Linked DNA regions of Rhinolophus ferrumequinum. The protein of the gene in region 2 binds, or shares a complex with, the protein of the main gene of each other region. Links are inferred from orthologs where the notes say so. Each region holds a gene or a part of one and is shown on either strand. Other genes may lie near its edges.

Evidence for each region. The genes of interacting proteins can lie anywhere in the genome.
Region 1: UXT (region 2) and DNAAF10 share a complex: the UniProt entries of both Homo sapiens proteins name them as parts of the PAQosome complex. The link is inferred for Rhinolophus ferrumequinum from reciprocal best matches to the Homo sapiens genes UXT and DNAAF10.
Region 3: UXT (region 2) and PDRG1 share a complex: the UniProt entries of both Homo sapiens proteins name them as parts of the PAQosome complex. The link is inferred for Rhinolophus ferrumequinum from reciprocal best matches to the Homo sapiens genes UXT and PDRG1.

What each region holds. Positions count from the first base shown.
Region 1 is NC_046296.1:22,366,010-22,369,760, reverse strand, and holds the start of DNAAF10 (dynein axonemal assembly factor 10), read right to left. Parts: upstream 2,897-3,751; 5' UTR 2,789-2,896; coding exon 2,606-2,788; intron 1-2,605. Other genes in the region: RNA-binding protein PNO1, read left to right, coding at 3,291-3,497, 3,733-3,751. UniProt on the Homo sapiens protein: Key assembly factor specifically required for the stability of axonemal dynein heavy chains in cytoplasm.
Region 2 is NC_046284.1:86,247,141-86,250,891, forward strand, and holds the start of UXT (protein UXT), read left to right. Parts: upstream 1-1,127; 5' UTR 1,128-1,142; intron 1,143-3,751. UniProt on the Homo sapiens protein: Involved in gene transcription regulation. Acts in concert with the corepressor URI1 to regulate androgen receptor AR-mediated transcription. Together with URI1, associates with chromatin to the NKX3-1 promoter region.
Region 3 is NC_046306.1:22,580,293-22,584,043, forward strand, and holds the start of PDRG1 (p53 and DNA damage-regulated protein 1), read left to right. Parts: upstream 1-1,425; 5' UTR 1,426-1,512; coding exon 1,513-1,599; intron 1,600-3,205; coding exon 3,206-3,281; intron 3,282-3,751. UniProt on the Homo sapiens protein: May play a role in chaperone-mediated protein folding.

The sequences.
Region 1 (3,751 bases), on a different chromosome or scaffold from region 2:
ATGTTCTATCGTTAACACATCACTTTTGTTTAAAAGGCCAAATTATTTTTAAAATGCATGAGACTCCTCCAGAATCTCTACAAAAAACAAAGAGCACTATTTTACTTTATGAACAAGTATATTCCTAAAATGTACACAAATGATATAGTTTTGTAAAAAAAGTTACAAGTCTGTAGATAGATGCTCTTTGGTTGAGCTTTGATTGGTATTTGTTCCTAATACTTCACCGCTAAGTTTCTTTCTGCTATTCTAATATTTCCCATCTGTTCAAACCCCTGACCCCAATCGAATGGTCAATAAACCAATATTTAAATTTCCCAAGTTATATTATTTTATAGACATACATTTACTCATTCTTTTAACAAATAATTTATTGAGTGACTGCTCCTTATATACCACACTAAAGAATGACACCTTCCTTCCTCTCCAGGAGCTTACAATCTACCATATTTTGCCGTGTATAACGCACACTTTTTTGCCCAAATTTGTGAGGGAAAAACAAGGATGCATGTTATACACGGGTAGTACTAATTCCGCATCTATATAAATGTTTTTAATTCTTTTATTTCTGCTTATGAGTTAAAAGTGTAACTCTAGAAAGCAGTAACGATATCCATATGCAAAATAATACCCTGGAATACGATAATCAGTTTTGTTGAACTTACCATGAACTTGCAACGATGAAGAGTTCTTGGCCTTCTACAAAGCGTAAATATCATAAATTTGTTACCAGTACATAAAATTTTTTGTACTTTGTACTTGTTCTTGTGTTTTGTGATTATTTGTTACATAAAATTTCTTGTACCGTAATATGATTAAAAATAAATGCTAAAATTCCTTTATAATACAAAAAACAAGTATCTAAATGTAAACAAATAAAAATTTGAATTAAAAAAATTAAAACAAAAGGTTTTTTCCCTGAAAGTTTGGGCCAAAAGGATAGGTGCACATTATACACAGGGAGTACATTATACAGAGCAAAATACGGTAATTAGAGATAAATGGAACAGAATGATATAGAGAGGGTGCCAAAAAAATGTATATACATTTTAAGAAAAAAACCGTATTAAAATTACGCTGATGGTAACCACTTTGAGGACCTTTTGTAATTGCAGAAGTCAAACGTGATTTGTATTCATCTTTTGTTATCGGTATATATTGAGCATTACAATTTTAATAGTTTTTCCCTTTCTTAAAATGTGTATACATTTTTTTTGGCACCCTTTGTATTTCAGGCACAGATAGTAAGTACCATAGGAATGCAATGTAAGAAAAGTTACGTTGTGTGGGGATCAGCAAGAGACTTCATAAATCAAAAAATCTGAACTGGACCTTTAAATAGCAACACGTAACTGGGAGATACAACAAAAGGTAGAAAAGAACAAGCCATGTTTATTCAGAGTAGAGTGCCTGACTAGAGAAGACAAACTGACCAAGAAACCTGGCACTCATAGAAAATTAAAGTGGAATGGGGCCTTACATACCTCCTAATCTAATCCTTCCTATCGAAATTGTTTAACCCCTTAGTCCTCCAAGCAGATTCTCTCCATAGCTTTTGATCCTTGGAGTTGTCAACCTTCCCTGTAGTCTATTACAACCCTAAACATCTGAGTATGACAATTTTTTTTTTTAGGCAACCCAAATCAAGGCATTTTTAAAACTCTAAATTGGTATAAAAATGTTAGTTAATGTCACTACTTTCAAATTTTCACAAGTAATCTCTACGAAACTCGTAAATCTGGGCTTGCCACACCCGGCTTACAGCCCTTCAGTGATGTCCCATTTTTCTTAGAAAAAAGGCATAAATCTTTAAATGACTTACAGGTCTTGCAACGCTGGTCCCTGCTTACCTCTCCTGTTTCAGAAAATAACGTCTCTCCCACCGCTGAGCTTCCGCATATGCTGTTTCCTCTGGAAACCTCCTTCTCTGCTCCTAGTTTGGCCTAGTTAGTTTCCACTCATCTCAAATCTGGTTTTACTCTCATAGAACGGTGTTCCTTTACGCTAGAGTTCACCTTGGTTTGTATTTATGCATCGTTGGTGTGATTATTTAACTGATACTTTCTCCCACTAGACAACTCCATGAGATCGGCGACATTGTCATTCACACGCCTGGGAACACCCGTCAATCAACTGATACTTGTTGAAAGAATGAATGTTAGGTTGTCTCCTCCAATTACACCGCAGGCATCCCGGTGCCTGCTTTGGCTCTGCCTGTGTGAAGAAGCATTTTACTAACAGGGGCCTTATTGACAGACTCTCCACAAACTGCGCACTGCCCAGAAGGGCCTCGAATTTAGACCCGAAGTCGGAACGTCACTTCCAGAGATTTCGCTCGGGATTGTGGAGGTGGGTGAAGGAAAGGGCCGGCAGGGCGCGGATGCACAAGCCCTCGGAGAATTCAAGACTCCAACGTAAGCATTTTACGTCGAAGTTATTCCTCAATCTTCAGTCATCTCCGCTACTCCCGCGCAGCTTAAGCTGTGCTTTTAGGGGACCCTGAACGAAAACTTTGCCAAAAAGAAATGCAGACCCCCAAGATCCGCACTCGTCGCCAACGGCACTCCCAGATCCTGGAACTGGGCAGTCTCGACCCTGAACCCACCTCCCGAAGCAGCTTTAGGTCCCCGTGCTGGATCTCGTACAGCTGAATGACGCCGGTACCCCGTGCGAAGTTGCCCATGGTCACAAATTTGGCGCTGCAGGGCACCCACTTACAGTCAAATACCGTGTAGTTGAGGCCCTTCTGGATATGGGCGATGATCTGAGGCTTCTCAAAGGCCGACATAGTGCAGCCGACTTCGCCTCCTCCGACTGACACACTCAGACCCTGACAAAACACTAACCTGGAAACCAGACTCCAAACAGTAATGACAGTTTGTCCTTCCCACTTGCCGTACTCGTCCCCGAACGCCCTAGCAAGCTGGATGTAGTTGTCTTAGTTAATGCCAGATGTGCTCCTGAAGTCACACAAGATTTTTCTTCACCGATGGCACAAATTTGTTCATTGCCTTTACCTACTGCCTTTCGCACATATTCAGATGAGAGATCACAAAATGCTCGGGCTGTGGCGGGACCAGAGGGAGACCCTAAGACTAAGGCATATTGTAGGATAACCCCCTTTCCTTCCCAACAAGCACACACAGAATCGGGCTTGAAGTCCCCTGCGTGGGACCTCTTAGGAAAGGGGGCGGAGCCCTGGGGTGGGTTGGCCGACGCTGGAGCCGCCGCGGTGCCGCCGCGCACGTGTTCGAGCCGGAAGCGCCGGCTGCTCCTGGAGATTTCTGGGGATGGCGACCGAAATGGAGGCACAGAGCACCGGGGCCGAGGACGGCTTCACCCAGGTCACCCGCAAGGGTGGCCGGCGAGCGAAGAAACGGCCGGCCGAGGAGATCTCCGCGGCGGGGAAGGACGGAGACGCGGGCCCCATGGACACGGAGGAGGCCCGGCCCGCGAAGAGGCCTGTCTTCCCGCCCCTCTCCGGGGACAGGTTCCTGGTACTGGCGGGACCATAGGACAGGAACGGGGTAGAGGCCAGAGGGTGGTCAAGCCGGTGGCCTTTGGGTGATGTTGAAGCTGCGGGGCCTCTTCTGGGGTGAAGTTTTTGGAGAAGTGACTCGGCTGAAGTTTAATTCTTTCAGTTAAAGGAAGCTTTTTTGAGGATCAGCTGTCATTTTACAACTCCGCCCCCATTCCTCCAGACATCTCGACTTGTGTGTTCTTGTATTGTAGGATGGGAAAGAAGAAACAA
Region 2 (3,751 bases):
AGTATTTGCATAATCGTTACTTAGATTTTACTTTACAAGGAACTATAAATAATAAAGTATCCTAGAAGATGCTTTTAGTGACACATTACATTAGAGAAAACAACCATTGGCCCTATCAATTTAAAACGTATTTTTATTTTTTTAATTTATTTTTTAATTACATTTATTGGTTGACAATGGTTAGTAAAATTACATAGGTTTCAAGTGTACAATTCTATAATACGTCATCTATATATCACATTGTGTGCTCACCACCGAGTCAGTTCTCATTCTATCACCATATAGTTGACCTCCTTTACTCCCTTCTATCACCCCCCCCCCTTATTTTTATTGATACCTGTTATCACTTCAGTTGGGTCGACCTGGCTACTGTGGGGGCTGATTGAGATTATGGGCAGGTTTAGGTCCTCATTCCCCTGCCTCAGCTCAGTGGGACTGGACGCTACCACTCCTACTTCTGTGCCCTCTCTCCTCATGGTATCTCCCAGGACCCGGACCTTACCGCTCCTACAGCATCCCTTCAAGAACACTCCATAGTATCGCCCAAGTGGGGGGGAGGTTCCATCGTGACATTTCTCCCCTCTCCTCCAGTGGTATCTCCCAGACTCTACTCTTCCTCTTTTCATAGTAAGGGCTCCCCCTCAACCCTGTGCCTTGTTATTAGGTACAGGTGTGTATATTTTTTTGGAATTAGGCTCTAGAAGTTGAGTTCCAGAGCCTAACTCCAAAAATGCCTGTCCACCAGGAAATTTACCCAAAGAAGGGCAGGCTACCTCTTCTCAGGGCAGCCCCACTGTTCTGCAGCGTGAGGCAGGAGGCAACGGCTTCTTCCACTGTACGGCTGGCACACCTGTCCAAGATGGCAGTGCCCACAGAGCAGCGCCGCTTGGGTGCAGCCATATTCCGATCTCAAAAAAGCAGCGGATGGCAAGAGAACTATGGCAGACGCCGGTGACTGCGCCCTGATGATTGCGCAACTCAACTTCGCAGGTACTTTTGAGCGTGCGCATCAGACACCCAGTCTCCCGCCAGGTAGACACCCTGGCGTTAGAGGTCAGAACTCGAAAGGGAAGCGTTTCTCAGGACCCAGGTGCTAGCGCCTGAGCCGTGCTGCGGTAATTTTGAAGTGGTTGGCTACCCAGGTACTGTGGGCTGAGTGATGGGGGCCAGGATCTGGGTCGATGGTGGGACTTCTGTGGTTTCAGTGATGGGGTCTTTTATATCGGATGCTCAGCTAATTATTAGTCAGCCTTTCTTTTTCTAATTAAAGCATTAGGACCATACATTTCCATCTAAGACCCAAAAGATATGTTGTATTGTATTATCGTTATTTCTCATGTCTAAGTATTTTTAAATTTCAGTTAAGATTTTTTCATTTCACACGTGTCATTTTGAAGCGCATTTCTGTTTGCAATAAACAGTACTACTGATATTGATTTCTAATCTGATTTCTCAGTGGTCAGATAAGTGAATTGTGTCATGAACATTCCTTGAAATCTGTGGAGACTTGCCGAGTGGCAAAGTCCTTTGTATCTTTCCATGAATGCTCCATCTATCGCGTCAAAAGAATGTGTTCTCAAAAGAAAAAAAAAAAAAGAATGTGTTCTCCAACTGTGAATTGTGTTCAAAATTTGTATACGCTCTCTGATTTTTTTTTCACTTACTCGTTCTGTATAGAGCAGCGTGATGGTGATTTGTGCATTTCTCTTTGCTTGTGTCAACTTTTGTTGTACTTGAACCTTATTATTAGGTACAGATGTGCATATTTTTATCATTAATTAATTAATTTATTTTTATTAGTTTCAGGTGCATAAAACAAAGTAATAGTTAGAAATTTATCATTTATATCCCACACAGTGACAACCTCCCTCCCCCATCAACTAACCCTCTGACATCGCACACAGCCATGACATTTCCACTGTCTCTGTTCCTAATGCTGTACTCTGCTCTCTTGTAAATATATATATATATATATATATATATATATATATATATATATATATATATAAAATTGTAGTTGACATTCATTATTGTTTAGCTTCAGTTTCAGGTGTACAGTGCAGTGATCAGGCATCTACATCATCCCTGAGGTGGTCTCCCTAATGAGACAAGTGTCCATCGGATACCCTACAAAATCTTTACAACATTATTGATTACATTCCCCAAATTGACTTTCGTATCCCCGTGGCAATCTTATGGTTACTGATGGTACTTTCTAATCCCCTCACCTTCCCTCTTATCCCCACCCCCCCTCCCATCTAGCAACCCTCAGTGTGCATATTTTTTTAAATAGACATTGCTAATGACTCTCAAAAATGTTATATATATATTACATGTATGCATATAATGCATATAATACATATAATACATATATGTGTATATATACATGAATGTATAATAAATATTCCACCAGAAATGTATAAATAACCCATTTTCCCAAATCCTCTCCAGCACTGGATGATGTTGTTCTTTTTCATTTTTTATCATTTGAGGGCTGAATAATTATATATAGTTTTTCTGTTTTACTTTTTCCACCTATTAAGTGAGGTTGAGCATCTTTTCCAGTTAATTGGGCGTTTGGATTCCTTCTGTGCATTTTCATATCCTTTGTGCATTCCTCCTCTCTCCCTTGGCTTTTACATGATAAACTTTCCTGGTCTCCCTCATTGAGTATTACTAGTGTCATATCTATTCCCATACATATTAAGATCAATTTCTGGACATTTTCTTATATTTCACTAGCCTATTTATCCCTGTTTTGATTGCATTAGTTTTCATTGTTAGCTTAATATCTGCTAGTCCCAGCACCCTCTCAGTATTCCCTTACATAATCTTCTTGGCTATTTATACTTCCATATAGAGTTTGAAATTGTTTTACCAAGTTGAAAAAGAATTGGAATTCTGATGGACACTTCATTACTTCAATAGAGTTAACATCGAAGCAGTGATATTTTTGTTTTTACTATATTCCTATCCAGGGATATGGTCTGTCTCTCCATGTACTTACATTTTGCGTTATATTATAGAATAACTATTAGTTTTCTTATTTTAAGTCGAGCATCGTTCTTGTGTTCATTTTTAGGTATTCTGTGTTTATTGTCCTTATTGGAAATAGGATATTTTTTCCCTTTTCTGTTTCAATCTGCTGTATTTATTTTCTTGTACCCTACCACCTTATCAAAATTCCCTGTGCTAGGTTTCTGACTATACAATGATGTCACCAGCAAATAAAAATGATTTTCTCCCCCTTCTCAGTATTTAGCCAGTTTATTTCATCTTCATATTTAATGTCATTAGCTAGAGCTTTGAAAACACTGTTGTGAGGGGAGCAACCCAATGTTGTTGCTAGTTTTAATGGAAACGTCTTCAGCATTTTACCTTCTAATGTTATGCTTCCTGATTATCTCCAGACTATGATCTTGGCTGAATTTTCATAGTTTCTTTCTAGCCTTGTTTTCATTTGAGAATTACTGCTGAATTGTGTCAAATACCTCTTTTTTCATATACATCGATACAATTGTGTTGTTTTTCTCCATAATTTGTTGATGTAATACATAAATTGATAATTGTACTAACATTAACCACCTTTGTCTTACTGGAAAACCCAATTTGGTCTTGGGATAAATTTTTATTTTCATACTAGCTGGATTCAAATTGCTAATATTTTATTTAAGATCTTTGCATCTATAAGACAAAATAATCTGCAGATAACTGCTTCTTTGTATTAGAACTATATATGTATTTTTTTTAA
Region 3 (3,751 bases), on a different chromosome or scaffold from region 2:
GAGGTCAGCCTGGTCCAGGCCTCTTTGGGTCCCAAAGTGGAGGAGACCCAGTTCTGGGGTCTAGGTCCCAGGAATGCCTAATGAGCCCCATTTTTCCTTTGGCAAATGTTCCCCCTTCCTTCCCAGGGCTTGTGTCTGCATTTCTGAACCAGAAGGTGTTTACACAAAACATCCTGGGTTTGGCGACAAATTCACCCTCAATGAGGAATCCTTAATGAATCTCCTTCTTTCCCTATACCAGGCAGCTGCAGGGAAAATTAGCTCTGCCTCAGGCAGTTGAAGGCAGCCAACGGCCAGGCAAAGAGGAGATGCCATTGAGACTTCTAGGGCCACAGTTTTGGAGAGGGCTTTTTTTCAGGGTGCAGAGATTGCTGTGGAATGGAGGCCAGAGAGCTTCTAGACCCACATTTGCTGCTGACATTCTAGATGACAAAGCATGGCCCTTCTCCCACCCGGAGTCTGCAGCTGTGAGATGGGGCAAAGGTTATTGTGAAATTCAAGTAAGGCAAGGGGTGTGCAAGGGCTTGGTCACAAGGGGCCAAAAGGGGAGAATAAAAAGCTAGACTTGGAGGCAACAGATCAGAGTTCTAACATCAGGTCCGCTGCCGACTTTTAAAAGTCCTTGCCGCATTCTGAGCCTTGGTTTTTCCAGCTATACAATGAGGGGTTTGGGCATGATCTCTAGGGAACCCTCTGGTTCTGAACGGCAGCCACTTGCCATCTGCCTGCCTCTTCTTGGAGGTCCTCCCCGATCCTACAGCCCACACTGACTCGCTTCCCAGAACGTACAGAACTTCTTTTCTGAGCTGGAACTTCATTACTCACTGCCTATGGTTTTCCAGCCCTTTCCTTAGGTCTAGGTCAACTACTCCAGACAGTGGGCCCAACACAGAGGTCAAAGTGCATTAAAAATGATTCCTGCCTCCTTCTGATCCTGCGGAAAGACAATGAGGGGGATTTTTATTAACCCCTATTTTATAGATCGGAAACTGAATGTATAAAATTAAATATAAGTCGCACTGCCATATGAGCCTCCTTGGTGTTCGCCAAACAGGGCAAGAATGATTTGTTTCTTTCCAAAGCCCTATCAGTGCCTGCCAGAGTATATAATTATTTGTTTTGTCGTTAACTGTTGGTGTTTCCTACTAGGATGAAGTTGCACGAGGGCAGGGACTTTTGTTTTGCTCACTGCTGCATCCTCAGTACTTAAAACTGCCTGTCACATAATAGATTGGTGCTCAAGAAATATGTGAGGGGAAGAAGGAAGAGATTGAGGCCACACTGCGGCCTGTGCTCTCTGGGCCTGCAGGGGGCGCTCCAGCCCTGCCCCCAAAGCTGGGCCCCGCCTCTCGCGTTCGGCTGACGCGCATGCGTTGGAGCCTGCGCGCCGCCGTTCGTTTTTTAATTGCGCATGTGTACTGTGAGTCCTCTCAGAGCGGCGCGTGCGCAAGCGGAGCTGGAGCAGACGGTGAGCAGGGTCGCGGCCCTGCGGAGTTGGAGCTGCCGGTGACGATGCTGTCCCCCGAGGCGGAACGGGTGTTGCGGTACCTGGTGGAAGTGGAGGAGCTCGCCGAGGCGGTGCTGGCGGACAAGCGGCAGGTGGGAGGCCCGTCCGCGGCGCTGGCGCCTGGGTTCGGCGGTTGCGGCCTGGTGACCAGCGCCGTGGGGAAGCGCGCGGGGTCCGGGATCTGGCTCCAGCGCCGGCTGGCAGTGAGTGGCCCGGGGCTGGTGGTCCGCTGGCTGTAAGGACAGACATAGGGCAGTTGTGAGATAACGTGGTGGAACGCTGGGCACGGCACCGCGCTTCACCCATTTATACGGCACGTCTTAGGTGAGCGCCTGCTGTGTGCTAGGCATCCCCTCTCTCTCCATCCTTCCTCTGCCCCTTACCGTGCTCTCCGGATCCCGCTCCATTACCCCTTTGGGCGGTTTACCTGAACCCCTTTTTCAAAATGCAGTTCCTGGTACTCTCAGTGACTTGGGTTGCACCGCCCCAGTCAAGGCCCTGAAGGGAGAAGAGGAATAGAAAAGAGGCCTGAGTGGTTTGTGATTGCGCAGGGGTGGGGACGCGGGAGGAAGGTGAGGCCGGGGTCGTAGAGGGCCTTGTGGACCTGAAGAGGAAGCTCGGGCCTGGTTCTAATTGAAGTGCCGGGTGTTTGAAGGGAGTTCATGGGGGGCGGGAGGATGAGATCATTGGATTTAGGTTTTATTAATAAAAGGATCCCCCTGGCCGCTCTGTGGAGCACAGACTGTAAGGAGGCAGGGGCCTGGTGGGGGCCAGTTGCCACAGTCCAGGTGAGGGATGGGTTTGATCCTGGGCGGCGAGGATGGAGACAGCGGATGGGTCAGAAATATATTTTGGAGATGGCCTTAGTCTCGATGATGGTTACATAGGGGTGAGAGCGTAGGAGGAGTCAAGAATGAGTCATGACTCTTCATCTCCAGTTAGAATGATTGATCGATTGGTTGGTCTGGTATTTACTTCGAGGGAGAAGACTCAGGAAGAGCTTATTGAACAGGGCATCAAGGTGTACTGGGCGATGATGATAGTAGTTAAGATTTATTGAGTACTTACTGTGCTAACTCATTTTGCTCCTGGCTCAATGACTAGGAGGTGAGTACTGTTCGTATCTCCGGTAAAGAGGAAGGTGGAATTGCACAGCACATAGCGGGCAGCAGGATTCAAACCTGGCTATTCTGGCTCCAGAGCCAGCGCTCTCAAGCAGCACATTGTACCGCCTCCTCACTTCCTTAGCAGCTGTTGTGTTGTTACCACCGTCTCAGTGTCCCACCCCTGCTGATCCAGTCTAGTTAGTTGGGCTTCTCATGATACTAATTAAGAATCAGCTGGAGGAGCTTGTGCAGGGAGAGGTTTCCACTCCCCTGGTGATTCTGAAATGCCCTAAAGCCTGTGAACTAGCACTCCAGTGGATAATAAAAATTATCCGTTTAGTTAACAGACGTTTTCCCAGCACCTTCTCTAGGGGGAAGACACCTGTACAAAGCATGGTCTTTAAACATCTGAGAGCTAAGTGGGAGAAAATATATATTCACACATCAGCCCATTTTACTTTCAGGACACTGGAAGTAAGCCAGGAATAACGCCTTGTTGTCTCTGTTAGGTTTTAATAGCCCCTGGTCTGTTGTGAGGTGATAGGCTGGGGCAAGAGGTAACTGTGTTCCCTCCTGCCTCTGAACTTTTCAGATTGTGGACCTGGACACCAAAAGGAATCAGAACCGAGAGGGCCTCAGGGCCCTGCAGAAGGATCTCAGCCTCTCTGGTAAGTCATGACTTCCTTACTGCAGCCGAGGAGGCCTGTTCCGTTTTCCATCTTGTACTTAATAGAGAGACCAGGCAGGAGGCCACAGGTCTGTGGCACGGCCTGCCCCTGGAGATAGGGGAGAACATTTCACAGGTCTGACACTGTGGCTCAGGGTTTTAGCTGCTCACCTCCATGACAAACCATTAGCCACTGGCTCACCAGTGGCATTAGGAAAGTGCTGGGAGGTATACAAACTGCGGTTCTTGCCCGTGTGTTCTACAGATGAGTAGAACGACATAAATACATAATTGAAAATTGGGAGGAAGTTGAAGAAGGGACTAGACATGGGGTAGGTGTTGGAGGAGGGAATGGGGGCTCTTTAGAGGCCAAGTGGCTGTAACAGAGGAAGCATAGGGGAAGGGCATTTGATGAGGCTGGGAAAGATGGGCCAGAGGCCAGGCCACAGTGAAGGGAAGTTTGAATTTTGT